3 linked regions of the Caenorhabditis elegans genome follow. The protein of the gene in region 1 purifies or fractionates together with the protein of each later gene. This does not show direct contact. Each region holds a gene or a part of one and is shown on either strand. Other genes may lie near its edges.

Region 1 (11,061 bases):
TTTCTTCGGGGTTAGTCGAAAGTTGTCGAAAGTTGCCCGTAATTTGTCAAAATTTGCCTGAAACTGGCGAAAATCCGTACTTTTCAAAAAAAAAACTCGCGATCAAAGTCCTTTTTCTAGAGTATCAGTTACCTCTTCTATCAAGATCTTTGAGTTTTTTCTCGTAGTAACAGGACCCTCTCCACGTGTAATAGAGGCTCGCAGGTTTTTTTTTTTGAAATTTCAGCAACGTCCGTCAATTTTCGGCAACTTTCAACTTTCGGCAACCAAAATCAAAAATTAAATGGAAAAATCCGAAAAATTGCCGTTTTTGTGTGTGCGACTAAAAGATAAATGAACTTCTATCAAATTTGTGCTCTCGCGGAGCAAAGGGCAATTGGCTCGACACGGGGCAGCAGAAAAAAAAACCAACAAGAAAAATTGAGAGACAAAAAGGAGAAGCATGTGTTTCAATTTTTTTTGTTTCTTTTTTTTTTTAAGAAAATATATGTGCTTCTGGGATCATCAGATGATGCAAGGAAACTTTTAAAATTGGGGAATATTGACAAAAAATTTTCAAAAAATTGTTAAAAGTTGCCGAAAGTTGATGGAAACTGCCGAAATTTGCCAAAAGTTGCTTTTGCCAAAAAATTGCCAAAAAAAATTGCCAAAATTGCCAAAAAATATTAACTGCGAAAAACATCTGAGAAGCCTTTAAAACTTTTGAAAAACAGAAGAATTAGTTGCACAACTGGAAAAATAAACAAATTCGGTGTCAAAATAATTTTTTCGAAAATTATGTTGTAAGAAAGGGATGGAATAACTTTTCTATAACTTGTGGCAACTTCCTTCATTTTTGGCAATTATTTGACTATTCCTGTTTTTGGAAACAGATATCTGAAAAAAAAAATCGAAATTTTTCTTTTGAAGAACATTCAATGAAAATCTGACAAAAAAAACAACAAACCATACATAATTATTCTATAAAAAAGTTGACAAAATGGGGGTCTAGGCAGGGTGGGTGTAGACGAAAACCAGTTTGACCTATTGAGTACATTTTTTGAATCAAAAATATAATTCAAACCCGATATCCGGCTGGCAACACAGATCTGAACCAAACGCAACAGAAAATTTAACAATTCAGGAAATTCCCACCTCTACCCTTTCTAGCAAAGGAGGAGGAGGAGGGATGAAAATGAACCCACATTCGGAAATCTAATCAACGAGAGTAGTACTTTTCGGAATACATTCCCCGAGATTTTTGAATTTTTTATGAGAGGGATTTCCCCCTGGATAATGTAACTTGGGAAATGTAGTGGTCAGGCTGGGCAAGTTAAGCAAAAGTGGTCGGAGCAGAGTCTAGGAGCCTCATCGAGAGTTAAAAAAACTTTGCCAGGCCCTAGAGTCTCATTACAGGCCCAGAAGCCTCCTCGAGGTCCTTGAGTCTGGGGCAGTCTGCAAGATTTTACAGCTTTTGGCAAACTCCATGAAGCTTACGTAGTAGTTATTAGCCTTATTAGTTATTAGTATTAGTATTAGTATTAGTATTAGTATTAGCCTTATTAGTATTAGTTATGTAGCCAGACCTCCCCAGTCGAAATTTATACTGTCCTTAGCAAGAAATTTTTTAAAGAAAAAAAAAGTATTGTGATGCATGATTTTCGAGAAAAAAGTTGAAAAATTGCAAAAACAAAAGCTCTCTTTTTCTTTCTTCTGTTTTGTTTAGACTGATTGAATGGAAGCTGTGAGCCCTCCTCCCTGCTCTCCCAAATCAAATCGGAACCTTTTTGTCTTTCGCCGTTTTATCTCGGCGGCTTCTTCCTGTCTCTTTTTTTTTTAGAAATTTCATTTTCTGGGGAATTCGGAATTTGTAGTTTTTTGTTGTGATGAAGTTTTCAAAAGTCAAAAAGTTGTAGAAAGTTGCCGTAATGCAAAAAAGAGACTTCTCTAAAATAGCATAATCCGAGACATAAGCCTAAGCCTAAGCCCAAACCTAGGCCTAAGCCTAAGCCTATGCCTAAGCCTAATCCTGAGCCTAAGCCTGAACTCAAAAATTCCAGAATTTTCATTCATTAATATATGTACCAAAATATTCCAAATATTCATATAGGAGAAGATGATAAGAAAAATCGGAGCCCAAATTGGCTCAGCTCGTACAAAATTACACGGGGAGACAGGAACGGGGGTGAGGGCGCGGAAAAAGAGATCACAGAGCGAGATGGAAAGAAATCTACAAAGTGTACAGAAATGTCAGATGATCAAAAAAAATTAGTGAAGTGCGTGGGAGCTTCCCGACATGGCCATACTGTGCTGCTGGATGAGCTGGACGTCTAGGATGACACGCTGCGCCGTGAGCTTCGCCTGATAGTGGATGAGACGGCCTTTGCCACCCGACACAATTATGCTGAAAAAATTAGATTTTCTCATCTCAAGATTCTTAGGATCCCTAGGTTCCTTAGGAACTCACTGTCCATCCGGATAGCTGCAGACTTGAAGATTATCCGCTTCCAGTGGCACGTCCTCGTTCCAGATTGGTTTTAGCACTGGAATCAGAGTTTCACAAATTTTGCTCATTTTCAGATTTTAAGCTCACCAGCCTGCCCGTCCTCTTCAATCTTCCATAGCCTGATCTGCCTGTCAGCCGAGACTGAAGCTAGGAGCCGCTTGGTCTGGTCCATTTGCACTATGGAGAGCGAGGTGACGTTGCCCTCGTGACCGCGGGCTTCTCTGGACTGGCGGGGGTTGCGGACGTCGTAGGACTGGAAAATTTGGATTACAGAGGGGCTTATTAATCGGCCTGAAACATTCACAAGTTCTATTAAGACTGCGCTTTAGATCAAATGAAACTGAACCTTAGCATTCCAGGAACTCTGCGAATCTTAGGCTCAGACTTATGCCAGTCTGGCCCAAACATTATCCTAGCTTGCTCTTCAGGATCGTAATTATACCTACACTTTGACTTGATACCAATCATGCTCAGCTAGTCTAAGTATCCGGCTCACAAGCTGGTCAGCTTTATTTAGGCGCCTCATAATCAGTCCTCAGCCCAAAAAGGGGTACCAGGTATGGGCTCAGCTACAATTTAGAATACTGGGTCAAAAGATCAAAAGTTACGATGAAAGGTGCCGTACAGCGCCCGACATTTTCCTGGTCCCTGCTTCAAATGTCTTACCGTAATCTCACACCCGTCATTGTTGAACCCGTTTGAGCAGGAGAAGAATCGATTCGCACCGTCAAACTCGCAGAACATCTGAATGTGCCGTTTTCGCGGGAATTCGGTCACCACTGACGCGTTACGCGGATCCCACAACCTGACGCTCTTGTCCTCCGACGTCTGAGCCACCAAGTTTCCGTTGTAGGCCATATGGGTGACGAGGTTACGATTGATGGTCTGGGTGCGTACACATTTCGCGGATTCTAGATCCCAGATCTTCACAGAACAGTCACGGGATCCGCTCATAAATTGGTTTTCTGAAATTTAAAATTGAAAACTCTTGCAGAACCTATAGAAAGTATGCTCACCATTAATACTAACAACGCCGGTCACCCCGAACTTGTGTCCATCGAAAACCACGTTCGGAAGATCCCCAGGCTCGTGGTTGAACATCCAATGGGTCAGAGTCCCATTCCTGCCCGCAGCAATCAGTGAGTGCTTGGCGATAAAGTTACGGTAGCAGATCTTATTGATCTCGCACGAGTTGGACCACATATTATGGATCTCGCCACTGTCGGTGTTTGTCAGGACCGCCCGTCCATCCTTCCCGCCTGACAATATCATCCCGGCGCGGATTACGGTCAGGTTGTTCACGGTGTCGACGTGGCCAGCACGACCGACCATCGGCTTCGCGATCTTTCCGTGGGTGGAGCGGGATCGTTGGAGTCTGGAAATTTTGGAAAACATGTTTTTATCGGTGGATTTGAATAATGTTATTCACCAAATTCTCATTGTTCTCCTTGTTTTTGAAAAAAAAACATGTTTTTATTAAAATTTTAGAGTTATTTTTCGCAAAAAGTTAGTACATATAAAGTTGAGCCTAGTGCTCATTTTTATCAAAACACTGAAATTTTCGCTATGAATTTCATTATTTTCTGTGCATTTCTGTGTGTTATCTGTGCTTCGGTGAGTTCAAGCATACAGTACCCATCATGGTAGTCGGAATCAACTACAGTAATGCTACAGTACCACTACAGTAATTCTACGTCGCTACTACAGTAACCTAACAATGACCCTACAGTAGCTCTATGGTACCACTACAGTAACCCTACATCACCACTACAGTAATCCTACAGTACCATAACAGTAGACCTCCATTGCCAATACATTAATCCAGTATCACTACAGTAAGCCTAGAGTATCATTACAGTAACTATACAGTACTACTACAGTAACCCTACATCAGCACTACAGTAATTCTACAATACCACTACAGTAACCCTACATCACCACTACAGTAATCCTACAGTACCATAACAGTAGACCTCCATTGCCAATACATCAATCCAGTATCACTACAGTAAGCCTAGAGTATCATTACAGTAACTATACAGTACTACTACAGTAACCCTACATCAACACTACAGTAATTCTACAATACCACTACAGTAACCCTACATCACCACTACAGTACCATAACAGTAGACCTCCATTGCCAATACATTAATCCAGTATCACTACAGTAAGCCTAGAGTACCATTACAGTAACTATACAGTACTACTACAGTAACCCTACATCAGCACTACAGTAATTCTACAATACCACTACAGTAACCTAACAGTCATCCTACAGTAACTCTATAGAGCCACTACCGTAATCCTACATCACCACTACAGTAACCCTACAGTATCCCGATCTATTTTTCAGGCCCAAGCTCAGGGAATCGTTGTCCCGGAGCCAAATCCAGTGATAGATCTGAAAAATGCACTTTGCAGTTTAATCAGAGAGCTCAAAAGCCTGCTGACCCCGGGTCAAATGTCGATTTATTCGGAGGTAATCTTAATTTTCAAAATTTGAGAAAACATAAACTTTTTCCAGATTTGCCCAGTTATCTACTACTAGCAGTTGGGAAACAAATAATTTTTGTGTTTTTTTGTATCAATAAATATTTTTTTGCACGAAGTACAATGAAAAAAAAGCGTCCCAGTCTGTGTGTCCTTCCCATTGTCATAAAAACCTCAGAGGGTGCAATAAAGTGGAATTTTTTCGTTTTGGTTTTCGATTTCAAAGACGCTCAAAATCAGGGCACACTTTTTTCTTGAAGCTTATAACTGAAATGTTTCAGGTCATTTTTTCCTCAAAAACAGTGGGCTTGAGCTTGACCGTAAGCCTAAGCCTAAGCCTAAATCTAAGCCTAAATCTAGGGTTGAGCCAAAGCCTAAGCCTCAGCATAAGCTTAATCCAAATCCTCAGCTTAAGCCTAAGCCAAAGCCAAAGCCTAAGTCTAAGCCTAAGCCTAGGCCTAAGCCTCAGCCTAAGCCTATGTCTACGCCTAAGTCTAAATCTAAGCCTAAGCCTAATTATAAGCCGCGTCAAAAAATTTTAGATTTTTTTTTGGAAAATGTATCAAATTGTTCCCATGAAAAAAAAAACACGGCTAAGACAAATTTTCAGAAACTGATGAAAAAATGGCCTGAAACAATTTCAGATCGTCTTTTTTTCTAGTTCAAACTTTTTTCTATTGAAATAGGCTTCATGAAACTTGCGCAGGCCTACCAGACTCCAAAAACCTTCCGTTTAATCTTCAAAAGTTAAAATTTCCATCCTAACTGATCGCTTCCTCCCCCGGCGTCCTCCAAAGGAAAGGGCATCAATGTGTCTGCGTCTCTACTTGTCCGTCCACTCACTGACCACCAACCCCCCACAAACAAAAAATGAAGGAAAAAACACACTGACACGCACCAAATGGCAGATGATGATAGGCGCCAAGAGACGGAGAGACGCAGACACATCGAGAGAGGTCGCCCTGGCGAACACTGCGCGCGCCAAGTACCGTTTGAATATGGCGGGAGCCTTTTTGAAAACGTTTTTTTTTTGTGTTTTTGGGTAAATCTTTTTTTGTTCTTTTTTCATCGATTTTTCTACTAATAACTTACTGATTAACGACCGTCTCGTTCGGGTCCAAAGTGCTGATCTGTGTGTAGGTGCCGGAGATCTTGTGCTGCACATAGTGCACAAGCTTCCCAAATTTCTCCATAGTTGGCTGGAAATTAGGTCAAATCGAAAATTAAACAACAAAACCGGGGGGAGCTAAGGAAAAAAAGAAATACTCAAAAGCTTCTTCTTCCCCATCTTAGCTGGAGCCCAGCGCGTCGTCAAGGAAACCGCGGCCGGTGAGAGAGCGCAGAGACGCAGAGAGATGAGCGAAGAGTAAGAAGAAGAAGAAGCGAACAAAAAATGAATTGAAATGAGCATAAAAAACGCGAAGAAGAAGAGAAGATGTGTGTGCCAGCGCACCATAAACACCACCACACCTTTTATTGTTTGAGCCTTCTCTTGTGCTCGGGGGTTTTTCTCTAATTCTATCAAATTTTTGTTGCTCCCCCCTCTGCTACTTGACGAGCTCAACTCTCCAGGGGTCCCCCCAAATTTTTATTTGAAAATTAATAGCCAAAATGAGTGACTGGCTCTTGTGGGAGACTCAAACTTTTCGAATTTCAAACTTTTCCTTGAGAAAACCTGAACAGATAAGCCTGCTAATATTAGTTGTGTAGGCTAGATAACGAGTTATCAGCTACAAAAAAGAACTGAAGAGAGTGGGATTCGAACCCACGCCCCCGAAGGGACTGGTGCCTTAAACCAGCGCCTTGGACCGCTCGGCCATCTCTCCGCCGGCGGCACATCAGGAGCGGAGCGGTTAGCCGACAGGGGGAAAATGTAAAACATGGGAGATAACGTCCGAGAAACATGGTGCATCGAAGTGTCATTTTAGTCTAAATCAGGGTCCAAACTTAGAATTTCACCTCAAAAACGGCTACGCTTATTTCTATATTCAATTTCTTTTTTTTAATCATCGATCTAAAATATCAGATCTATATTCCCGATTCCCATGCCACATTTCATTTACATATAGGTCTCCCATCTTTTGCACAATATTTTTCCACATATATTCAATATACTATTCTGCCAAATAAAGTATAAAAAGGCTTAGACGGCCCCAAACAAATCTACATTCTTTCAAACACAAAATTTTCACAACGCTTCACTGCAAAATAGCTACAAAAAAGAACTGAAGAGAGTGGGATTCGAACCCACGCCCCCGAAGGGACTGGTGCCTTAAACCAGCGCCTTGGACCGCTCGGCCATCTCTCCACCGGTTTGTCTGCAACCCTAAGGGCGTACAGAATTTTATGACTCTTGTGCTCTTTGTGCATTTTTCAGAGCTACTTGTGACGTCAAACCGAGGCGAAAAATTATTTTAAACAAAGCTAATCAGAATGAGACTTTCACCTGCTTCTCGCTTTTCCGTCAAAACTTCTTCTTCTTTTTTTTCAAAACTTCTTAACTCCGCAATCTATAATTTTGTTTTGTTTAGAAATAATTATATACCTAGAAGCTAGCTACTCTCCAATTTCTCCCGGAAATTTTTATTATTTTTGAAGCTCGCTCAGGCTTTCAATTCTCAAATTTACAGTCACCAAATGATACCAACGAATTGCTCAGCGCAAGCGAAAAAGGAGTGTCCGCCGGCTGTGCACGTGCCTATCGAGCCGACAGGCATGAATCAGCAAGGATCCATGCATTTCAGTCAGGGACTGCTTCCGTCGAGTTGTTGGCTGGTGGTTCCCTCATCTGCGCTGATACATCCACAGGTGCCGGTGCCGCAGATTCAGGTTATGAATTCGATGGATTATGTGGTGAGTCGGCCTTTGTCGCCGTTCTTTGCGCTGAGCATTTAGGCGTGAACTCCGGTGTTTACGGCTGCACATCATAGTTGTGCGCTAACCATAAGCAGTGCCAGTGCACAAGGTAGTTATTTGGAAGCAGCCGACACGTTCAGGGTTCCGCGCCACACGGTACACCCCCGCCCGCCGCCACACACGATCACCCTTCTCTGTTGCACACAGCTAAAGTGGCGCGAGGTCCCGCATAGCGTCGGCCGCAGTATACAGTGTGTGATAGTGCGCGCGAGCGAGCGTGCGGGAGTAGGGCGGGCGTGGTGTGCCCTTTTCGCGCCTCGCCTTCGTGGAAGGCCTACTTCAGAGCCATCAGTTAGCTTCTCAAATTTTTCAGAAAATCATCGAAATCGCCTGCGCCGACCTGGCGGTCACCACAAAACTGAAACGCCAAAAGTCAAAGCCCGCAGAGATGAACCCGACGAGAGAGTATATCAGTCATTTGAAAGGTTTGGGCTCACCACTTAGATCTTAACGATTCCTGAATTTCCAGATCAATTCGAACGGAGCCACTACAGTAGAGCTTTGGCGATGCTCAACAGCGTGTCGGGAGCCCAGTCCTCACAGTCGACGTCGCCGATTTCCATGTCTCCACGGGCTTCCAATGATCGTTGATCTTACATATTCTGTGTTGACTTTTTTTAAATCGCGGTTCTTAAGTTATTGAAATGTTTCGGGGTGGTTTTAACATTATTATATCAATTGAAATTTATTATGTATGTTGAATGTTGACATTTTCTGCAAATTAAGTTCTTATGAAGTGTTGAAAAAAAACATTGTTACATTGCAAAGCATGTCTGAAATGATGACCAACCTGTAGGATCTTTTCAAAAAATTTGAGTTCTTAAAAAAAAATTTTCTTAGAAAATCTGAACTGCAATTGTGGTGGTAATCGTGTCCGGATAGACAATTCACATTGTTTTGTGGATGATAACCTACTTTTGACAGGCGTTCGGGAGAAGATGAAAGGGAAAGCGAGAAATGATAAGTGTTGGTTATAAAATTGTTTTGTCAACATATCATATTTAGAATTGAAGTTGAAAACGAGAATTTCCGCATAAATGTTCAAAAATTCAAAATTTCTGAAGCTCTAACCTAATGCTTTGGAACTTCTAGCTCTGAAAAGCATCACCTAAAAATAGGGCAGCCCCCGCAGCCCCGTAGTAGCACAGTTTCAATGATGTCCCGTGCCAATTTTCATAAAACTGAATATAAATTGGATTGATGTTGCTAAAGGGCTGCGAAGGGCTGAACTGGGCTGAAGCTGTGCTGCGAAGGGCTGCGAGTATGAGCTTTTTCCTGAGGGGCTGGGGCTCAGCCTCCTTTCAGCACTGTAGCTCTCTGCTCTCGCAGAGAGTTATCTGGATATTTGAAATGTCAGCTGAAAACCCCAGAATCCTAAAAATAATCCTAAAAAGCGCTAAAACGCTTGCCGCGACCTCTGCCTGCCTCGCGCCGATAGCCTCAACTCCTCTATAGTGCGGCGAAAAACCAGAAAAATGTCGGCCGCGTCGAAAAAGGTCCTTCAACCGCGCCTGCCTTACATGGAAGCCTTAGACGCGAAGGGTCAATAAAAATGAATTGATGTCTATAAGTTTTTATTATATTATAAAATAGCAAAACTGAATTAAATTCCCAAGATTATTCTCAGCATGGTGTTACAAGCTTCAGTGTCACTTCAACGCCGCGTTGCCTGAAAACAGTCAGCTTGTACATTTGAGACACATATTCATAAACTAGACTCACGCTGCACCATCCTGCCATACCCCATCCGCTTGGCAGCGCAATTCAGTATCGGTTTCGTTACCAGTACTACTGCCCGTCCTGGTAACAACGCCTGATTCACTTCTAATCTGAAGGCTTTTATAAGAAATTCGAGCATTTTCTCAAAACTTACATAAAGCTCAGCCGTCTCGCAACCCATATTTTCACAAAATATCTGGAGAGTAGCACAACCATTTACCGTACTTCCAGTTGAGGCACAATGGACGTTAGCGAGCATCGGATCGGTAAGAATGTCTTGTGAGCAGGTCGTGCAATCCGGAGCCTTGGTTGTAGTTGGAGCTGTGGTGGTCGTGCAATCCGGAGCCTTGGTTGTAGTTGGAGCTGTGGTGGTGGTCACAGTTGTTGCTCCCGGAGTTGTAGTTAGCACTGGCTTCACGCGCACTGGTTTAGTCGTTGTTCCACAAGTTGTGCATTTCCTGAAAAGTATTTTGTATGGACCAAAATGTGCTCGAATTTTTTAAAGAAAATTCTCCAATGTTTTTTGAAATTTTTTTAATAGCAGTTCAAAATTTCGAAAATAAAATTGCAAAACTTTTGCTATTTTTCCATGTCACAGTGGTCCATTTAAAGCATATGACAACACCTAGGCCTAAGCTTTAGCCTAAGCCAAAGCCTAAACCTGAGTCTAAACCTAAGTTTAAATTTAAGCCTTAGTCCAAGCCTGAGCCTAGGCCTAAGATTCACCATTTAAAAAAAAAATTTTTAACAAACTTTTGAGAAGTTTCATAAAGAAATGCGTCCATTTGAGCACTTTTCGGTCTATAAGTTCAAAGTTTCAAAAAGATTTTAAAAGTTCAACTTACGTAGTTGGAAGCTTTACAATTTTGGTAGCTAATGGGTCTGGCAAAATCGGGATGCATGAATTCAATTGGTTTGGGCAAATGGCAAGTGCAATAAATAATGCCCAGTTAAACATAGCTGGTGAATAATATTTTGAAGATTAAATAGTTAAGGCAATCACTTTCTCGTTGCTGATAACCTACATTTGTTCATATCATTCGAAATAAGTAAAAGTGAATGGAAAGAAGAAGGATTGATAAGAATTTTTCGAGATTGTTTTTTTTTGTGGCTATACACAAATATCTGAAATTTAAGCTTGAAAATCTCTGAAATACATCGAAAACCTAGCTGAAAACTCTGAAAATCTAGCTTCAATAATCTGAAATTTCCGTTAAAACGTTTGAAATTTTAGCCTGAAATATCTGAAATTCATTAAAATTTTAGCTGAAAACTCAGGAACTCCAGCTTGGTTTTCCACAAAAAATAGTTGAAACTTTGGCCGAAAACAATGAGTTTCCAGTTCAAACTTTTGAAGTATTAACTCAAATTTTTGAGCTCAAGTCTTGAAGATTTTGGACCAAAAAACTCAAAAAAATGAATTGAAAATGCCCAGATTTGAGACAAAA
Region 2 (10,744 bases), on another chromosome or scaffold:
TTAGTCATAAATAAATGCTCAAAAAACTCATGAGAGCAGAAGTAAAGTGGATGTTCCCCGGAAGTCGTTGGCGACGAAAAACGCGTGTCTCTCTTTTTCCATCTTCTGAATTGCCCAACAACGACGGATTCTCGTTTTTCTTTGGAAGCGTTGCCATAGATACTCTCTCTTTCTCCTTTTTTGACTACAACCAGCATGCTCATACACACTTACACACTCCTCCCATTTTCATATCAAGTCGTCTTCAAGAAAATGTAGAAAAAGAAGAAGAGAGGAAGCGACTCTTGATTCTTTTATAAGTGTCAAGAAGAAAAAGAAGGCGATGGTAAATGAGTATGCCGAAATTATGGTTTTCTGGTGAAAGTGATAATTATAAGTTAGAAGATGAAGAAAAAGGTTTGTTAAAGCTTTATTTTATTTTTGAACTTTGTTCCTATCCAATTTCTACGTTTCAGCGTCAGCAACGTATTCTTCTCTGCGTACTGGTATCCTAAGCCTCACACCTGGTGACCAAAAATGTCGGTTATACTGTAGTGGTCCCCGGTGTAGATTCTGTATCGTAGTAACTGGTCAAACTGAAATTCAAGCAATAGATGGTTTATATTCAACATGGATAACATCTGATATTCTTGCAATGGCACGACTTCAAGTTGAACACTTTGACAGTTTGGGAATTGTGGAGAAATTCAAAACGTAAGTTCTATCTCAATTTGGTTGATAGCGGACTGATGATTGGAAACGATCATATTCTGTTATTCATAAACATTGTTCCTATTCTTTAGAAATGGAATACAATCAGTCATAAATCTTCAAGAAAGCGGAGAGCATTCATTCTGTGGAAGCGGTAATCTGACAAGTGGATTTAGTTATGATCCAGAGAATTTGATGAGAAATGGAAGTGAGTTAACTTTATATTAAAGAATTGATAAACGCTCGATTGCAAGTAGGCACGTTCAGGCCCACGTGTCTGTCCAAAAAGATGTAGATCGCCTTACAGGCTGGAATGTATTTTTCGTCTATGCAAAAAAAACCTGACTAGATCACATTTGGATTTCTGTTTTTTGTGACTACCAATGTATTTGGGATTAAATGTTTATTGAACGAGTAGGGTCCAACGAGAAAATATTTCCAACATTTAAATAATAATTTTTCTTCTAAACATGAGTTGAAAATATTTTGTCGACATTTTCCCAATGTTGTCTATTTGGCAGAATATTTTATAAAGAAACTACAGAAACATGACCATGAAAAACTTCAATGTGCAACAGCTTCTTACTTGTCTAATGAATGAACTACGCTTTAAATTATTTCCATTTTTCTTCAGTTTATCACTACAATTTCCCACTCCCCGACTTCCAAGCATGCACACCAAATCGTCTATTGGATATTGTCAAAGTGGTCGATTTTGCATTATCCCATGGAAAAATAGCAGTTCATTGTCATGCGGGTCACGGAAGAACTGGAATGGTGATTGCTGCATGGATGATGTATGCTTTGGGAATGTCTCCGAGTCAAGCAGTTGATACAGTCAGAAGTAGACGTGCAAAAGCTGTTCAAAGTAAGGAACAGGTGAAAACATTGCATGAGTTCAGAGTAAGTTCGTAATCATATACAATCACAAAAGTTCTATATTGCAGCTTCTAATAAGGAACAATGGAGGGATGATTATTCCTAAAAATAAAATGACACATATTTCGGAATATGTGGCATACAATCAAAAGTTTATAAGTAAACCAGAATCTAGATTATACGGTAAAATTCCTAAAGTAAGTATTTAAATTTTCTAAATAAATAAATAACATATTTTCAGATAGTTTACATTGCAATGCGAATAACACTTCAAAAAATGTATTCATCAGTGAATTTCGAAGTAGAAAACGATTACCGTATGAAAATTAAATGCGAAGGGCCATTACCTGAAAATAAATCATTCGATGAACAATTATTAAATGCTCAATTAAATGATGATGATCATGAAAAAACTCATTTTTGGTATATGGATCAAGTGAAGAATGGGCTCTCAATATCTACAATTAGTCGTCAATTAGAGGTTAGTTGGTGAGAGAGATTCAGGAAAATGTTAATCTGATTAAAATTTAGAATGAAGATTTTCGAGATATTATACGTCTTCTTGATTTGTTCTTTCATTCGACATTTCATCAATTGACGCATAAAGAGGAAATATTTGCAGTTTTACAGAATTGGGATCAAACTGAAAAGGTTAGAAATTTTGGAATTGTTGAGCAGATGTACCCGAAAAAATGATTATTTGATAATATACATTCAATGTGAAGAATTGTTAGTGTAGATTTTGTATAAACAAAAAAATAAAATTCGAGTTTAGTGACTTGCATGAAGATATAATTGACAGTTTAGTGAAAATAACGAAATACGTATTCCACTTATCGCGAACTTGAAACAGTAGATTTTAGAACGCAGTTTTTCAAAATAACATGATTTCAAATTATCAGTTTTGCTCTATTACTCCAAATTCCATTTTTTCAGGATTGGTCTCCAACGTTTTGGTTTTTATTAAAATGTATCCGTGAAATGCCTATTCCTCTTCATTTGGCACTATCACGTCTTATTTCCAAATGGTTCCTACGTTCTGAAGTGGAAATCGCGTCACGCATCAAACACATTTTATCATCACCGGTTACTTCAAACGAGTAAATTCAATAAAAGTTTTTTTCGAGAAATAAAAAAAAATGAAATCATTAAAAAAAAAAAAATGAAATCACTTTGGCGGGAAGTCTTTGCATCATAAAGAAACAAAGAAACGGGGAAGGCAAGTAGAAATAGAGGGGAAACGATTTGGATGAATACTGTTTACATGCGATAAATCGTTGGGAATACGGAGAGAATGAGAAGTACAAGTTGAACTGAACATGGAAAAGTTGCACTTTAATTGAGACAGAAAGCAGAAACAGTGATGGTTCACAACCGAAAATGACTGGTATTCAGGAAAAAGAAGAAGAATGACATGAAATGGAACAAAAATCATGACCGGAATGCGTTGGCAGAAGGAATTGGAGCTCGGCGATTTGATGGCTCCAGAAGACGTTCAGTCATGTCTTTCTGAAAAAAAAACAAGTGCTTTTATTTGAAAAAAAAATCACAGATTAATTTTTTTTTGAAGAACATCAAGTTATTTTCCTCAAAATTGAGGACAAACTTCTTTTATTTTTTAAACATTTTTTGTTGGGTCCTTCTTTTTTTTTTGAGAAATCAAAAAAAAATCTTCGCTCTTGGATTTTGCAATCGAAAAAGCGACGCCCTTGCTCCAATAGTGTTTTTTAAATTTACTATTTTTAAACTTGCTCTTTTCTTAAAAAATAAAAAAAAATCCTCCTAGGCGTGAAAAGTGGGAGGGGAAAAAAATTGAAAATTTGCGTTTCGTGAGACAGTTTAAATAATTATTTGAACATATCTTTTTTTGTTTTTGGTAAAACTTTTCTCTTTTTTTTTCAAAGTGTGCTCCAAATTTGCATAACTTACCAATGCCTCCAATTCTTTAGTGGACACCATTCCATATTCAGTCACAAAAAAGTAAAAATGTTTATAAAGGGTATTGGCGTGTGGTTCAGCACCCAATTCTCGAATCCGATCGAAATGATGAATGTAGACGTGCACGAAGACACGGAACAAGCGAGTGAGAATCTTTTTGCAAATTTGACGGAAATCTTTTGGAAATGATACATCTGAAATAATCAATAAAATTAACTATATATATCGTACAAAATCAAATCTTACTTGTGCTTGATGGGAAGATGTGCTCATCATTAATGCGAACTTCAATCCAATCCATTAGCAGCTGAAACAACGGTGTATCAGTTTACCGAAATCACACAATTGTGAGAAGGGTGCAAATAGAAAGAGAGGGGTATTAGGTTACAGAAAACGCAAAAACAAACCTGCATGTACTGCGGAGCAGGGAGTCTTGTCGGTTTTTTATACTCAATACCATCCTGCCACAAATATTCATAACGGGATCCTCCACACATAGTTGGGCAAGATTCACGAGTGCATACATCAGAAATCGTTCCATACATCAAATTAATTCGATTGAAAAAGTCAACAGCTGAACGAAAATTCAGTTTTAAATTTAAACTGGACCATTTTTGTTGAAACTTACTATGTACAGCCAGCCAATCATCAAAGTTCTCACTTGGTGGCAGTTTGACAGCATGACGAAGATCTACACCCGAATGAAGAGTTGCTTCTGCTTGTTTGTGAAGACTGTAGCGGAGTGTACCTTGTGGAAACTTCTTTTTCGGACGGAATGTCTACAAACAAAATACTTTTCGTTCAATTTCAGAAAATGGTAATTTACGCAGCTTGGTCCCAAATGCCAAGATATCACAAAAAATTAAAAGAAAACACTCATTAAGTTTGAAAAAGAAAACTACTAATTTCGGTAAATTTTCAATTTTCTAATGTTCCTAATTTGAATTACAGCGCATTTGTCTTTAAACCACGCACATTTTTCAGTGCCGGACTTTGGTTTTTATCAATTTCGATGCAAAATAATGTTTTTTTTCTTATTTTTAATAAAGAAAAAAAGCCAACAAAAATATTTATCTCAAATCAAAAATTTGTTTTTGATTACCTTATGCTTGTTGACCTGCAGAAAATCGAGAAAACTGGCCATAACTGCAAACAATGGTTGTGGATCCTTTCGTTTTTCGTCTCCACCGGAAGAGACGATGGCGCCCGAAGGCGGTGAAGTTCGGCGTGGAGTTGACGGCAAAATTCCCGATCTGCAAGAGAAGGAAGGTTTAATGAGTCGTAAAACTGGGTTAGTGGTGAACTAAATGAAAGCAAGCGAAGTTCATTGGCTCACTTTTTCAAACGAATAAAGAACATCATCATGGTAGTTTTTCATAGAAATTGTGGCCGAAAAGTTGCGAAACGCGTAAGGAATTTTAAATTTTCTGATGAAATCGCATTGTCTCGTGAATTCTATTTTTGAATTCACCGCTTCCCGTTCGGTTTCCGCATAGAAACACACAAATTTAACGAATTTATGAGATTTCGGAGATTTACCTGGATTTCCAGATCGGATCAGTAATGAAGTCGGGATGAAGAATGAAAGGATTTTTAGACTGGTGGTTGGTGGGAAATTAGCGAATTTTAATGATGGATAGGCTGTGGCGCGGCACTCTCTCACGCAGTTGGCCCCGAAGAAACAGAAAGAGAAGAGACATACACACAATGAACATCATGCGTTGGGGACGAAGCAAAACGAGAGAGTATTGGGATAGGGGGATACGCAGAGAAGAATAGGTAGCAGTTGAAATGGATGGAGAGATGATAGAGCAATATAGAATGTAGATACGCAGACAGTGTGAGTTGCGGGAGGGCATGGATTGTGTGTGTGTGTGTGTGTGGCAACGAGGATTTGATAATGAGCAGTCATGAGAAGGACCAAGAGAGATGAGTGCAAATTGGGTGAGAATCTATGATTCCGGAAGTTGTCGTAAAGCAAGCATTTTGAATTTTATTTCAAATATGCAATGCCTACAGTAACCCTAGTAGGTCTAGAAGGTTCACCACCGTGGAGTACAAAAATCTCGATTTTCATTTTTAGACTTTAATAGCACAAAACAACCGAAATTCGTAATGAGAAATTTTGAAAATTTCTCAAAAAATAATTCTGGCGGGTCAAAATTTTCGATTTTAGCTGAAAATATAAATACCCTTTTCAAAACTTTGATCCGCCGTAACAATTTTTTGAGAAATTTTCAATACGTCTCATCACAAAATTCTCCACTTTCAATCGTCCATAATCTACAAAACATCATTTTTCAAAACTTAAATATGCAATAACGGTTAAAACCAGAATTTTCGATAGAACTACGAAGTTGTATATTATATAATTTTTGGAGAACCATCGGAGTTTTCCAATCTCCAAACATAAAATCTCTATTTGAATTGGGAACTTTTGATGACTCAATAGTAGTGGGCAAAACTTTTGTGGACTTTACAACTTCAACGGCATAGTTTTACTTTTCCAATACAAAACAGGAAAATAAGAACAACACACATTTAATGGTAGCCGGAAGAGAAATGAGGAAATTATGAGGGTACTTTGGCGTGGGCTTTCTAGCTTCAGTTTCTCATTCCAAAAGAGTAGACATTTCTGATGTATTTCATTGAAATAGGTTTTGCATGACCAACTGTTTTTTCAATGTCCTCGAACGATTTCCCAGGTTGAATGACATTTGAAGGTGACAATTGACAATGGCCGACACATTTTATTTGCATCTCATTATCACATCATTCTGTGAACCTACAGTACCCTTTAGACTGTCAGTCTTCTTTTAGAAATTGCACTCTTTCAAAAGATAAATTCGACGTTTTTAAGTCTCTTTTGGAAATAATGATCGACATAGAAGCCAGACATTTGACGAAAGCTGGCCAAAATCATGGACTAAGAACTTTTGATTACGGACAAATCTGTTGAAACTAGAAAATGAAAATATTTTAATGTTTTTGGAAATAAAATTGAATAATACGTTCAGAAATTGTAGTAAAAGAAGAACGAATAAGTTGACAGAACTTCACAGTGATGATTTTGACTGACAGCCGGCCTGTGTCAATGTCAAAAATCTCTACGGATTCCGGATTGAAAAATCAGCGTTTTCTACTAAAACCGAACAAGAAAGAGGAACGTTCAACGAAATTTAATGGATGTTTGCCTTCGAATCATTGCATCGCATTCAGAATGCCAAATGAGTCGAATATGAATAATCGGTAGTGAAAAACTTGGAACAAACCTTTGTTTTGTAGGTGTGTCGCCACGTTGAAGTGCCTCCGGAAGACCATAGCAGTTGAGAAGAGACATGGAGAAAGGGAAGCGTTCTGAAATGAGAAGAAAATTATTGTTGGATGAAAAAATATGTTTTCAAATAAATTAAGGACACGTGGACCGGCGTGTGTAATCAATTTTAAATCATTTTCAAAAGAATTTCTTTCTAATCTGTAAATTTAGAACCCTTTCTGCGTTTTCGGTAATCCAGGTTTTCTGGTTATCTCGAAAAACCGGCAAAATATGGGAGAAAAGATTTATATTCAAAAAATTTCAATATTTCACATAAACTAAAAATTTAAGTTTTTTAGATTTTTTTTCAGGATTTCATTATAGAGGTTTCTCAAAACAAAAGAATAAAAATCTGAATATATTGGAAATGTTCGACATGAAACGTTTCGCAGTTTTAAAATTGAAGTGAGTAAATTCAGGTTGAAAGTCAAACATATTTCTGAAAAATAATGAAAATAAAACTTTTTTACGTCCGTTTGAACTGAACTAATGGGGTTATTCAAGTAGTGTCGTGAAATTGAAAAGTGTATTTCAATACACTTTTTGCCTTATTCAAGTAACATCAAAAACATGTATTTCAATACAGTTTGTGACGTAATTTCGCGACATTTCTCGACATTTCTCGACATTTTTCCACAGTGGATTTATCAGAATTGTTCTCCTTCGACGGCAAATTGTATGGATTTTCACCCGCGGGGACACCTTTCTCTGTGTTTTTCATTCAGTTGTCCGCTTTCTGGTTGTCGCATAATGTCGAGAAATGTCGAGAAATGTCGCGAAATTACGTCACAAACTGTATTGAAATATATGTTTTTGATGTTACTTGAATAAGGCAAAAAGTGTATTGAAATACACTTTTCAATTTCACGACACTACTTGAATAACCCCATAAATTAAAAAAAATAAAAACTCCAATTTTCCAGGAGAAAAAAAAAAAAATAAAAACTAACAGGAAAAATGTTTTTTACCAAACAAATAAATCGTCGTAAGATTTGGTGTATTTTGTGCACTTAGCCTACCGTAACCCACGGTAAAATGCAGAATTGTGGTTCAAATCATTTTAATTTTCCCACGATATATTTTCCCACGCTGTATGTTCTTCTCGGCTATTTTTTGCTGTTTTATTTGATTTTTCATAATTTTAAAATATTATAATTCTTATTTCTTGAATTTGTAGTAGATGATGCAAAAGAGGGGTCGCTTTAAAAGCAGATTAAATTCTTCCATGTCTTATGTGCTCATTTTCCGTTCGATTGCCCATTTGAAAACGAAAAAATCTGCCGCTTCTCTGGTCTTATTCGTCGTGGATCGTTGTCGAGCAGCTCTTCTCCGTCGTCGCGCGTCTCGGCTTTTCCATCGTTTTTTCTGCGCCCTCTAGTTCTCTCGCTCCCTTTATTTTGCTCGCACTTGGCTTCATGCCAGCTGGTCCCCTCTGCTTTTTGCATACTATCTAATTCAGACCCCAGTCGCTTGCATTGGGAAAGGCCACCTCATTGAGCTCTGTCCACAACGAGTTTGGACCCAGACTGGCATAAAACCATATGCCTATGAAATTGTGTAAAATGTTTCTTCTTTCTAAAATCAGTTCGCAATTATTTCGTTCCTTGTTCCTTCCCGTTCGAATTTTGAATCTATTCTCTCTCTCTCTCTCTCAAGTTCCTTCATTTCCCGCCAAGTGTTTCTCTTCATTGCGACTTTCGACCAGCTGTTCGAGCAGCTCCTGTATCATTTTTTGCTACGAATTTCTTCACCAACTGCACGTAAACTGCTACTTTAGTTATTTGTTATATTTTTGTTGTGTTTAAAACTGAAGAGGTCACCGGAGCGAACATTTTCTAGAAAATTCTATTGTCGCACAGACAACAATATAATGTCTAGAAAGAATGCGATTCTATTCTGAGAGGCTGGTCCATCATAAAGTGACGAAAATGATTATGTGCGAGGGTGTGTTTTGTTCGTCTCTTCATCCAATCTTCTTCTCTCGAACCTCTTCCGTTTCTTTCAGCTCGAAAATCGCAAGAAATAGTCTATAAATAATCCAGCGAATCACTGAAAGACTGATGTTTTGTCTCTTTTTGATGTATAAAAGTGCTTGTTTCTATCAGTCTTTCGAAAGATTTTGTTGAAATATTGTATTCTTATTCTGTGTAGGTTACTGTGTGTCACTTTTGGCGAACAAAGAAAGTTCAACCGGGAAGAAATATTACCGTAGCATGTTCTCTCCGTTTTCTCTCACTTGCTTTTGCACTTTTGGTCTCCTCTTTATTGCATCATTCCGGGCCCCTTTGCAAATGTGTTTGATATTCTATCGACCAAAAAGTTTGATTCATAAGTTGAAGGCTAAAGTTTTTATTCTTTTTGTATTATTAGAATGCTCTTATCGAATACAATTAAATCCCACTACACTAAAGAGGTAACCTCATTAATCTAGACAAAAATTACTTCCTTTCGGAATTATCGCATTCCAAAGTTTAGATTCATTAAATATTTCTTTATTTTGTAATTTTCTCTCTTGTGGCACCTTGTTTTGGCTCACATGGCATTCGGCGAAAGCAAAACATGAATGTCTGTTTTCAAAGTTATGCATTCACCCCCATCCTCCAACTTTTCTATGAAAAAGATTTGGTCTATGATCTTTCCAGCCATGAGCTCGTCGCATTCTATTGAGTTTTGAGAAGAGAAGAAGCTCTAGAATTGTGTGCTCGTTGTTCGACTCTTTCAGGATAAATTTCATAAGTAGAGAGACTTTTCATCTTACACTGTTAGCTACGGTGACGTCATGAGAGCAACAATATACGCTCTTTGTGCGCGGGCCGAATGATTGCGAAAGAGAAAGAGCGTCTGCATTGGACGTGTGACCTTCAATGTACCCTTAAGACTCCGCCTTATTTTGAATCATAACATTTTTGTCTGCTAGACGACCCTTGGCATTCGTCCAATTTTTTTCGAAACTTTGAGTAGGAATTAGATTTGCAAAAAAAAGTGAAAACGAGCCAGTAGATCCTCCTCGTATCTTCATTCTTCTTTCGTTTCAAATTGATTGCTCCTTTTCGTTGTCTCTTCTGTGCATTTTCCGTGAACTTCACCAATAGGTCATAGGGATCTGCTTCTCGCTAGTGGGATATCCTGCGTCTCATCTACTCTGACATTAGATGATGGGCGACGAAAGAAGCACCGTTTACACCCAACCCATCACGTCAGAGTACGGCCGACTTCCCTCCTTCCCATGCAATATCACCTATGAAATCGATTAGAAAGTCCCTCGCTTTATATTTCAATTCGATTTAAAATAGAAGACGAAACATCTAACTTGGCTCACTTCCTCCCTTTTTTTCGTTTTTCTTCTTTAGATAATCCCTATCCTCAGGCGCTTCAACTTCTTGTTTCGCGATCTTTCCTCTCCGGATGCGTTTTTTAGGCTGATTCTGCAACAAGAGTTTAACAATCGGATTGTCAAATTTGCTCTTTTTCTTTTTATTGCGCACTCCCTGCCCCTGCCTTTGACAACCTTTCCAATCTGCGACTGTTAATAAATCTAGGGTCGCAGCACATCGAGCAAACAAAGAACAATTTTTTAAAAGAAGTTGAAATATTGCTGAATAGATGGACCTCATTTTTGTTCATTTTCTCTATCTAATAGTGATGCTCTTACACATGACAATAATAACCAACGTTTTTCGCAATAATTTTTTTGTTTTTGTTGACTCAGTGAACATTTGTGAAATCTGGCTGTTGAAAAATCACGAGTAAACTATTTTCGTCAACGATTCAGATTTTTGAATCTACAAAATATCTGATGTCACTGAAAAAGCCTTTAAAAAAATAAAATTTACGTATTCTAGTGCATTCGAGTTTACTGCCATCATTCGCCCAATATCCTTAACCAATCCATCAGTTCAAACTCATTATTTCCCGTTTTTC
Region 3 (8,991 bases), on another chromosome or scaffold:
GAAAAACCACAATTTTCAAAGAATTATCGATTTTTCTGAAATTTCACACAATACATATTCAAATGTTTATCTTTCAGAATATACACATCAAATTTAAATACTTCACCTCGTTGCAAAGTTACACCACTTCCAAGCTCACAAGTCAATTTTCAGGAGTTCAAAGCTTAACCCAACCCGTTCGCACCCAAGTTCCCGGCTTCTTTTCTGATTTTTTAGACTTTTAAGCATCTTAAAACATTAATAATCACACTAGAACATTTAAAAACATAACCAAAACATAGTAAGGGATTTGTGAGGGATTATGTCTCAAACTATCGAAAACAACTGGAAAAAACTTGGATTTCTTCCAAATTTTTGGATTTTTTGGAAAACTAAAATAAACAATTTCCAGTCAGAGATCTCAATTTTAATCCGGGACAATTTCAAAAAGTTTTTTTTATTTTTCAAAAAATGGAAGCCCTTGGAGAACATTGGTGAGGGTGGAGCTGGTATATAAATAGGACAATTTTTAAATGAAATTATGAGTTTCTTGGCTTAAATTTTCTGTATTTTTCATATTTTCTATACTTCTAAAAATGTTCCACGTGACTATGGAGATTCACAGCTTCAACTCTGACTTGGAGCTCAAAAAGTGCGGAGCTCCAGCTTCTGGTATTACTGTAGCAAATGGAGAGAAGAAATTGATGGATCGTGCGCTGGAGGAGAAGAGAAAAGGATTCAGAAGGACGCAGACTGCTTATTTGTGACGATTTTGGACTTTTGTTCTGGATAATTTTTCAAAAAAAAAATTTTTTTGAATTTTTTTTTCCTAACATTTTCTGTAATTTCTGAAACATCCCCAAACTATTTTTTTGTAAAAATGGGTTTTTGACATCAATAAATCTTGTACTTTCCCGGGAATTTTCGGTTTCTTTTTTTCAATTTTTTTCCAGAAAAATGAGAAACTCAACACGGTTGGAATGAAAATTTATTTATGAAAATTTGAAAGAAAGATCCCATTTTGAATGGTTAGCCGATCAATGTAATACAGCCTGCCGCGACAACTTCAGATCCTTTGTAGTGATACTTATTAAGAACACAATCCATTTCCGGGTAGATCGTATTAGAAGAAAGCAGCATGCTGGAGAATGGAAGTTTGGAAACCTGCAAAATTCTTTTTTTTTTAATTATACCAAGAAAAAAACTAATTGAATACTTCTGGTAAATTTTCAAAAGCTTAACTATAAAAGCCTTGACGGAAATTCAAATTTTTTAAAGAAAATGTTCGACGGGAGTTCAAATTTTCCGAGAAAAATTTTGACGGGAATGTTCTAGAATCTTCTAAAAAATTCGAGAAAGTTCTGGAATGTTCTAGAGTTTTCTGAAAAATTCAAAAAATATCTGAAATGTTCTAGAACTTTCGGGAAAATTCAATAAATTTCTGGGATGTTCTAGAAATTTGGGGAAAATTCAAAAAATTTCTGGAATGTTCTGAAATTTTCTGGAAACTCGCGCGCGAACGGCTAGTTTTTATATTTAAAAAAAAGATTTCCCACCTTTTTATCAGCTGTAATAATAAACATTGTTAGATTCCAAGCGCCTGAGTCAATAACATTAACCCTGCAGAGGGATGTTGCTATGCATGCTGTTTGTGGATACAAAGAAACTGAACCATAGCTTGCATCTACTGGTTTTTTCTGGTTGGCCTTTGCCTATTCACGTTTTGCATTCCACCATTGTCGGGTGTAGGTCTCCGTGATGCGGGGCAATATTTCAATTGATTCGCACTGGCACGTTTCTGGAAAAAGTTGAACTTAAATTTTTGAAATTTTCACAAAGTTCAAGTTTAGATGGTAGGTGTTTCGAGAAAAAAATTGTTTTTAATTTATTTTCCAAAGATTTTGATTTTTTCAGCATATTATTCCGGTCAAAATAAGTATAATCATGGCATACTTCTGATAACTTTGAAATTTCGAGAGAGCACAGAGAAACGAGACACTCTCGCTGTCTGCGCCCTCTCACTCTCTAGCGGCGGGTATAAAAACGGCCATAACTTTCTTAGTTTTGGCGTGGTTTTTGTGATAATTATATCTTTGAAATCAGAGAGTCTAGGCGGTTCGAATGAGTGTAAACTTGAATAAAATAGGAAAAAATTTTTTTTGAATGTTTGGAAAAAAATTTGAAATTTTTATCAAATTTTTTTCTTTTCCTCGAAATTCTTTTCAGGACTTCCTCGAAATTCTTTTCTGGTTTCTGGACCAATATTTTTTGCCAAATCAACACAGTTCCTGGATGCTTCCAAATCAAGTCTAGATAACAAAATAATTGAAAAATTTGAAAAATTTAAATTTTTTCGATTTTCAAAATTTCAAATTTTCCTAAAACTACCATAACTCCTTTATTTTTGAAGCAATTATAATTTTAGATATATTTTTGAAATTAGAAGAAAATTTTGAACACTTTTTTTAAAACTAAATATAAGTATTTAATGTTTCTGACAAAAAATAAGAACCTTACCAACACAAGTTTGTGTGCACACTTGTTCTGCATTGACGAAGGCTACAAAACATAGAGCTAGAATAATAAACATTTTGTCTGAAATGGGGGTCTCAGTATCAGTATTTATACTAACTTTCATTATGAGAACTTCTCTGGTGAAGAAGGAAGTGGAGATTTATGGATGGGACTGTAAGGGACAGCTTTTTCAGAAAAGTTACAGCTGTCTTGAGAGATAAATTGGAACTTTTTTGTGTTTCTGCATCAAAAACCTCATTTAATTTTTTTTGAGCGTTTTTTCATCTGAAAAATACTGAAATTGTGCGAAAAATCGGAAAATATCCTGTGTCCCAAAAAAAATCAAATTAAAAAAATCTTCATTTTTCAAAAAATATAAAAAATTACAAACTTTTATTTTCATTTCAATGTTATTCTTAAAATACATTTTTGAACTGAGAATTTCAAATTCTACAAGTTTTCCTGCAAAGATCACGTAGTTCAGATTAAAATCTGATTTAAAATTGGGATTATTATGGGGGTTTTGGAAAAAAAATTGTTTTTTCAAATTAAAAAAAAAAAATTTTTCAAAAAATATTGGCCCATATTTATTTTAATCTAAAAATTTGAATTATACACATTTTTGCGGTTCAAAAAAGTATAATCATGACGTTATTCCGATAACTTTGAAATTTCGAGAGAGCGCAGAGAAACGAGACACTCTCACTGTGTGCGCCCTCTCACGCGCTGTGTAAAAACTACCATAACTCTGCTAGTTTTAAAGTTAGGGATGAGATATATATTTTTTCAAAATCAAGAGACCGAGGCGGTTTGAATGAGTATAAAAATTAGCGAAAAAAACTGTTCCCAAAATTTTTTTTTTGTTGCGATTTTTGTTTAATTTTTTAAAATTTATACTATTTAAGTAAGTTCAATTAAAGGTGGACTACGCCCAGTGGGGAAATTGCTTTAAAACACGCCCATGGGGCCACAATGACCGAATATCATGATAAAAAAATTCAAAAAAATTTTCTAGATTTTATATGATTTTTTGAAAATGGGAAAAATCTCAGTTTTCACCTAATTATTTTTGAATTTCCGCCAAATGGATTTGTTCGGTGGAGCGCGCTTGCATTATTTTTTATTTATTTATTTTATTTATTCTCGTTATTTTACAGTTTTTCATCATTTTCTATGTTTTTTTCTAGGAAAATGGAAGAAATAAACAAGACAAATGCAAAATGTTTGTTAAAAAGTAACTGAAAATGATTAAAACTGTGATATTCTTTGTTCCGACGACAACAAGCCTGAAATTAGTATATTTCACAGTTTTAAGCATTTTCAATTACTTTTTAACAAACATTTTGCATTTGTCTTGTTTATTTCTTTTATTTTCCGAGAAAAAAACATAGACAATGATGAAAAACAGTAAAATAACGAGAATAAATAGAATAAATTAATAAAAATAATGCAAGCGCGCTCCACCAAACAAATTCAATTGGCGGAAATTCAAAAATAATTAGGTGAAAACTGAGATTTTTCCAATTTTCAAAAAATCATATAAGATCTAGAAAATTTTTTTGAATTTTTTTATCATGATATTCGGTCATTGTGGCCCCATGGGCGTGTTTTAAAGCAATTTCCCCACTGGGCGTAGTCCACCTTTAAAAACTCATTCCAACTACACTCTAACTTCACACCTCCTATACTTATCATACTCACCCCTCCGAAGAGCAAACATTTTGCTCTTTAGCACTCGAAGCACACACACACAAACCACACATTATCACAAAACTCCGCCTGTTTCATGCCCAGTTGTTGGCTGACAAATGATAAATCTCATCAAAAATTGTATATATCACGGTTCATATAGTATATAATAAATGCCAAGAAAACTTGAGATCAGTAAAATCTTGAAAATTTTCAAAAAATCTGAAATTTTTGTCAAAAAAAGGTAAGTTTTCAAAAGGGTTTTTTGTAGTTTGTAGTTTGTAGTTTGTAGTTTGTAGTTTGCAAGCTGGTTTCATAGGAAATAGTGAGGCTTTAACTTTAATACTAAACTTTAATGTATCCGACAAAACTTTGCTTTCTTAGTAGTTTGTAGTTTGTAGTTATTGTAGTTTGTAGTCATTGTAGTTCATAGTCTATTGTTTCCAGAAAAATGGGAATTTGCTGCTGTAAAAGTGAGACTTTCGCCGAAGAATATCAATTTTCTCCGCCGCCAGAGCTCACCGGAGCCCTGGAAATCAATGACAAACTCCAAAAAGCTCAGCATACTGGAGGGACAGGTAATTGGACCAGAATCTATGGTAGTTGATGATGAAGCCATTTATGTATCTGTAAATGACGCAAAAGTGCTGAAAATCGTGGATGGAAAGGTTCGGGCCACTGCGGTGTACTCGAAGAATCCGATTTTTCCGCCGAATATGACAAGATTCGAGGCTGAAGCGATTTGTGGAAGACCCCTTGGAATTAGGAAGCTTGTGGAGGGAACTAAGAAGTTTGTACTTGTGGATGCGTATTTGGGAGTTTTCATTATCGATTTTTCCGATGAATTGAGACGTGAGTTATTTAATTTTGATTTAGCAGTTTCGCAACGTTAATTTTTGAATTCAGCGTGTTTTTTCGGTCAATATAAGTATAATCATGGCACATTTCTGATAGTTTCGCAATTTCGAGAGAGCGCAGAGAAACGAGACACTATCGTCGTCTGCGCCCTCTCACTCTCTCTCGCCGGCCGTAACTTTTTTCGTTTAGAGTGATATTTTAGATAAATATATTTTTGAAATTAGGAGGTCCAGGCGGTTTGAATGAGTATAAATTTTGGCAAAATTAGGACAAAATTTTTTTTTTGAAATTTTGAAAATTGTTTTTTCAAAAAAATTTTTTGCCTCGTAGCACTTTTTCAACCTGATATTCTTAGAACCTATATTTTCCAGCAAAATCAACACAAATCCTGGACGCTTCCAAGCCAATCGACGGATTCAGGCCCAACTTCCTCAACGACCTGGACGTAATCTCAGAGGACGAGCTCATCATCACACACAGCTCAATCCGACATGACTGCCGACACTTCTTCAATCTAGTGCTGGAACATCAGGGAGACGGTCGCATTTTGCATCTGAAAATCTCGACTGGAACCGTAAAAGTGTTGGCTAAAAATCTGTACTTTCCCAATGGAATCCAGCTGACCCCCGACAAGAAATCGGCGATTTTCGCCGAATGTTCGATGGCTCGGATCAAGAAATTGGATCTGGAAACTGGAAAAATCGATATTTTCTGCGAAAACTTGCCCGGGCTGCCGGATAACATCCGGGGAACTCCACGTGGCACATTTTGGGTCGGGTTGGCGGCGACTCGCTCGAAAAATTATCCGTCTTTGTTGGATCGGTTGGGAAATTGGCCAGGTGGGTGACTACAAACTGTAATGACTACAAACTACAAAAACTACAAAAACTACAAACTACTATACAATGATAAATACAATCAGCGAGCAGTCCTCAAATCTGTAGAGTTTTGAACAAAAACTGTCAAGTTTAATAGTGACCGTCAAGTCTGTAGTTTGTAGTTTGTAGTTTGTAGTTTGTAGTTTGTAGCTTGTAGTTTGTAGTATGCAGTATGTAGTATGTAGTTTGTAGTTTGTAGTTTATAGTTTGTAGTTTGTAGTTTGTAGTTTGTAGTTTTAATAATATGTACTTTTCAAAACCGATCAGAACATTTTTCGAAAAAATTGGTACATTCTGTAGGTGACATGAATTGCAGTTTATAAGTTGTTGTTTGTAGTTTGTAGTTTGTAGTTTGTTGCTTGTAGTTTGTAGTTTGTAGTTTGTGGTTTGTAGTTTGTAGTTTGTAGTTTGTAGTTTGTAGTTTATACTTTAAAATTTCGGTTTTACAGTCTGTAATTTTCAAGCTTGTTTATTCGACCTAGTGGGAATGCAAATAATTTTGAAAAAATTAATAAAATTCTTTCAAAAGCAAGGTAAAAGACTACAAATTACAATAACTACAAACTAAATTACTCTAAACTACAAAAACTGCAAAAATTACCAATTTTCTATAGAAAAGTGCAATAACAGCAATAACTACAAACTGCAAACTACATCAACTACATCAACTACAAACTACATTAACTTCATCAACTACAAACTACGATAACTACAAACAACAATAACTACAAACTACAATAACTACAAACTACAATAACTATACACTACACCAAACACTTAAACTACAAACTACAACAGCCAAGGACATACATATTATATTAGGCAAGCATCAACGAGTTAATGACTACAAACTACAATTTAGTACACTACAATAACTACAAACTACAACAATTTTTGCAGGAGTCCGTCAATTCTTTGTCGACATTGTCCCGGCGGCCCATTGGATGAAAATTCTCGTCTTTTCGAAACATCCTCACTCGATAATTGTTGAGTTGGACTCCAACGGGAAAATTATCAGAAGCCTGCATGACGTCACTGGAAAACATGTTAGTGACGTGTCACAGGTCACAGAACACAATGGATTCTTGTATTTGGGCAGTTTTGCAGACACTTATATTGCTAAAGTTGAACTTTGATTTGAATATTTTTAGTGGATTTTTGAATGAAGTTTTTTTTTGAAGTTTCAAATTTTTCAAAAAATGTTCAAATTTTTTTTCTTTCTTTGAAACTTAAATTTTCGAAATCAGTATGTTTTCCCGGTCATTTTAAGTATAATCATGACCTACTTCCGATAAAATTTCGGCTATGAGAGAGCACAGAGAAACGAGACACTATCGCTGTCTGCGCATCTCCTCTCTCGCCGGCGGGGTTTAAAACTACCCTATCTCTGTTGGTTTCGTGCCGAGACCCGTGGTATGCATACTTTTTGAAATCAGCAATTCAAGACGGTTCGAATGAGTATAAGGACTTCGTTTCAAAAAATAATCATTCATTTATTAGTGGGGAGTTTTGAATTTTTATTTTACAAATATGGTTTATAGAAACTTTTAGTTTAAAATTTTTCTGAATGTTTTTTTTTAAATTATACTTCTGAATACATATTTTGAGATCTTAACTAAGTTTTAAATAATCAAATTTTTTTGAAATTTTCAATTTTTTTCGAAAATTTTGAAAATTTAAAAATTGCAATTTTTCCGGAATTTTTGAATCTATGTTTTTTTAAATTATAATTTTCGAAATCAGCGAGCATGTCCGGTCATTTTAAGTATGATCATGACATATTTCGGATAAATTTGAAATTTGGAGAGAGCGCAGAGAAGCGAGACACTCTCAGTGTCTGCGCATCTCCTCTCTCGCCGGCGGGGTTTAAAACTACCGTAACTCTGTTAGTTTTGCGCTGAAACCCGTGGTATGCATACTTTTTGGAATCAGCACGTTAAGACGATTCGGATGTGTATTTTAGGATTTCGTTCCAAAAAATAATAATTTATTACTGAGTCGCGAAAAATTCAATAGACTTGAAGGCATCCTGCCGAGACGATTTCAGAGCCTTTGTAGTGATACTTGTCAAGAACACAGTCCACATCAGGGAAACTGAGATCTTCGCGTGGAAGGAAGTAGGCCGGAAACTCGGCTACCTGTAAAATTTTTCGATTTTCCAGTTTATCACTGGATTTGCATTAGTTCACCTTTTTATCGGCTGTCACAATAACCAGTGTAGAATTGGAGATTCTACTTTTGTCGCCAGTTGAAGTAAAAAGACATTCGGTAGATGCTGAGCATGTCTTTCTATCATAAAGCATTGTGTAGCCAATAGTTCCACTTGCTTCTGGAAAACCGCTCTCTTTGACTGCCTCGTCACGCTTCGCGTACCACCAGTCTTTGGTGTAGGTCTCAGTGTACAATGGGATGTCTGTTGTGGAGCAGTTACATGTTTCTGGAAATTTATGAAATTGAAATCGGCATTCAATTCCGGTCATTTCAAGTATAATCATGACATATATCTGATAACATTGAAAATTCGAGAGAGCGCAGAGAAACGAGACACTCTCACTGTCTGCGTCTCTCATAATGCCTCGTCGCTTGCTAGACGTTCGATTAAGCTTCTGTTATGTATTTTTTAAACTCAAAAAATCAAAAAGGTTTTAATCAATTTAGATTTGAAATAATTTTAAAAAAAAAATCGAAAAATTTATTTTTCGAAAAATTTATTTTTTTTTTTTTTTCTAAAAAAAATTTTTTTTTTTGAAATTTTTATTTTTCTAAATTTTTTTTTGTTAATTTTCATATTCAGCATGTTTTCCCAATTCGAATAAGTATAATCATGGCATATTTCTGATAACTTTGAAATTTTGAGAGAGCGCAGAGAAAAGAGACAGTCTCGTTGTCTGCGTCTCTCCTCTTTTTCGCCTCGTTGTTAAAGCTACCGTAATCCTGTGGCTTTTGTCCGAAGACCCTTGATATTTAATTTTTCGGGATCACAATGAAATTTTGAATTGGATGAATATAAATTTGGAAAAAATTTTAATTTTTAATTTTTTTTTTTTGAAAAAAAAATCATTTTTTCTTCCAA

Evidence for each region.
Region 2: the proteins of wdr-31 (region 1) and mob-3 fractionate together in Caenorhabditis elegans (co-fractionation; one large-scale study listed by BioGRID). This does not show direct contact.
Region 3: the proteins of wdr-31 (region 1) and C08E8.2 fractionate together in Caenorhabditis elegans (co-fractionation; one large-scale study listed by BioGRID). This does not show direct contact.

The regions. Positions count from the first base shown.
Region 1 is NC_003280.10:2,729,072-2,740,132, forward strand, and holds wdr-31 (WD_REPEATS_REGION domain-containing protein), read right to left. Parts: upstream 6,222-11,061; 5' UTR 6,172-6,221; coding exon 6,071-6,171; intron 3,861-6,070; coding exon 3,502-3,860; intron 3,451-3,501; coding exon 3,152-3,450; intron 2,739-3,151; coding exon 2,573-2,738; intron 2,523-2,572; coding exon 2,447-2,522; intron 2,384-2,446; coding exon 2,248-2,383; 3' UTR 2,034-2,247; downstream 1-2,033. Other genes in the region: T05A8.8 (Mediator complex subunit 15), read left to right, coding at 7,616-7,831, 8,208-8,319, 8,364-8,485; T05A8.6 (DUF281 domain-containing protein), read right to left, coding at 9,518-9,563, 9,617-9,723, 9,768-10,071, 10,367-10,414, 10,459-10,571.
Region 2 is NC_003282.8:7,382,080-7,392,823, forward strand, and holds mob-3 (MOB kinase activator-like 3), read right to left. Parts: upstream 6,865-10,744; 5' UTR 6,848-6,864; coding exon 6,780-6,847; intron 5,190-6,779; exon of another isoform or gene 5,047-5,189; intron 4,761-5,046; coding exon 4,610-4,760; intron 4,287-4,609; coding exon 4,136-4,286; intron 4,082-4,135; coding exon 3,915-4,081; intron 3,815-3,914; coding exon 3,754-3,814; intron 3,702-3,753; coding exon 3,499-3,701; intron 3,079-3,498; coding exon 3,001-3,078; 3' UTR 2,677-3,000; downstream 1-2,676. Other genes in the region: ptp-8 (TYR_PHOSPHATASE_2 domain-containing protein), read left to right, coding at 336-396, 456-693, 783-898, 1,325-1,593, 1,638-1,766, 1,811-2,050, 2,101-2,220, 2,506-2,673.
Region 3 is NC_003283.11:18,351,573-18,360,563, reverse strand, and holds C08E8.2 (Strictosidine synthase conserved region domain-containing protein), read left to right. Parts: upstream 1-4,721; coding exon 4,722-5,034; intron 5,035-5,411; coding exon 5,412-5,879; intron 5,880-6,818; coding exon 6,819-7,054; downstream 7,055-8,991. Other genes in the region: C08E8.5 (Elongation factor 1-alpha), read left to right, coding at 576-746; C08E8.11 (Salivary lipocalin), read right to left, coding at 7,928-8,056, 8,108-8,355.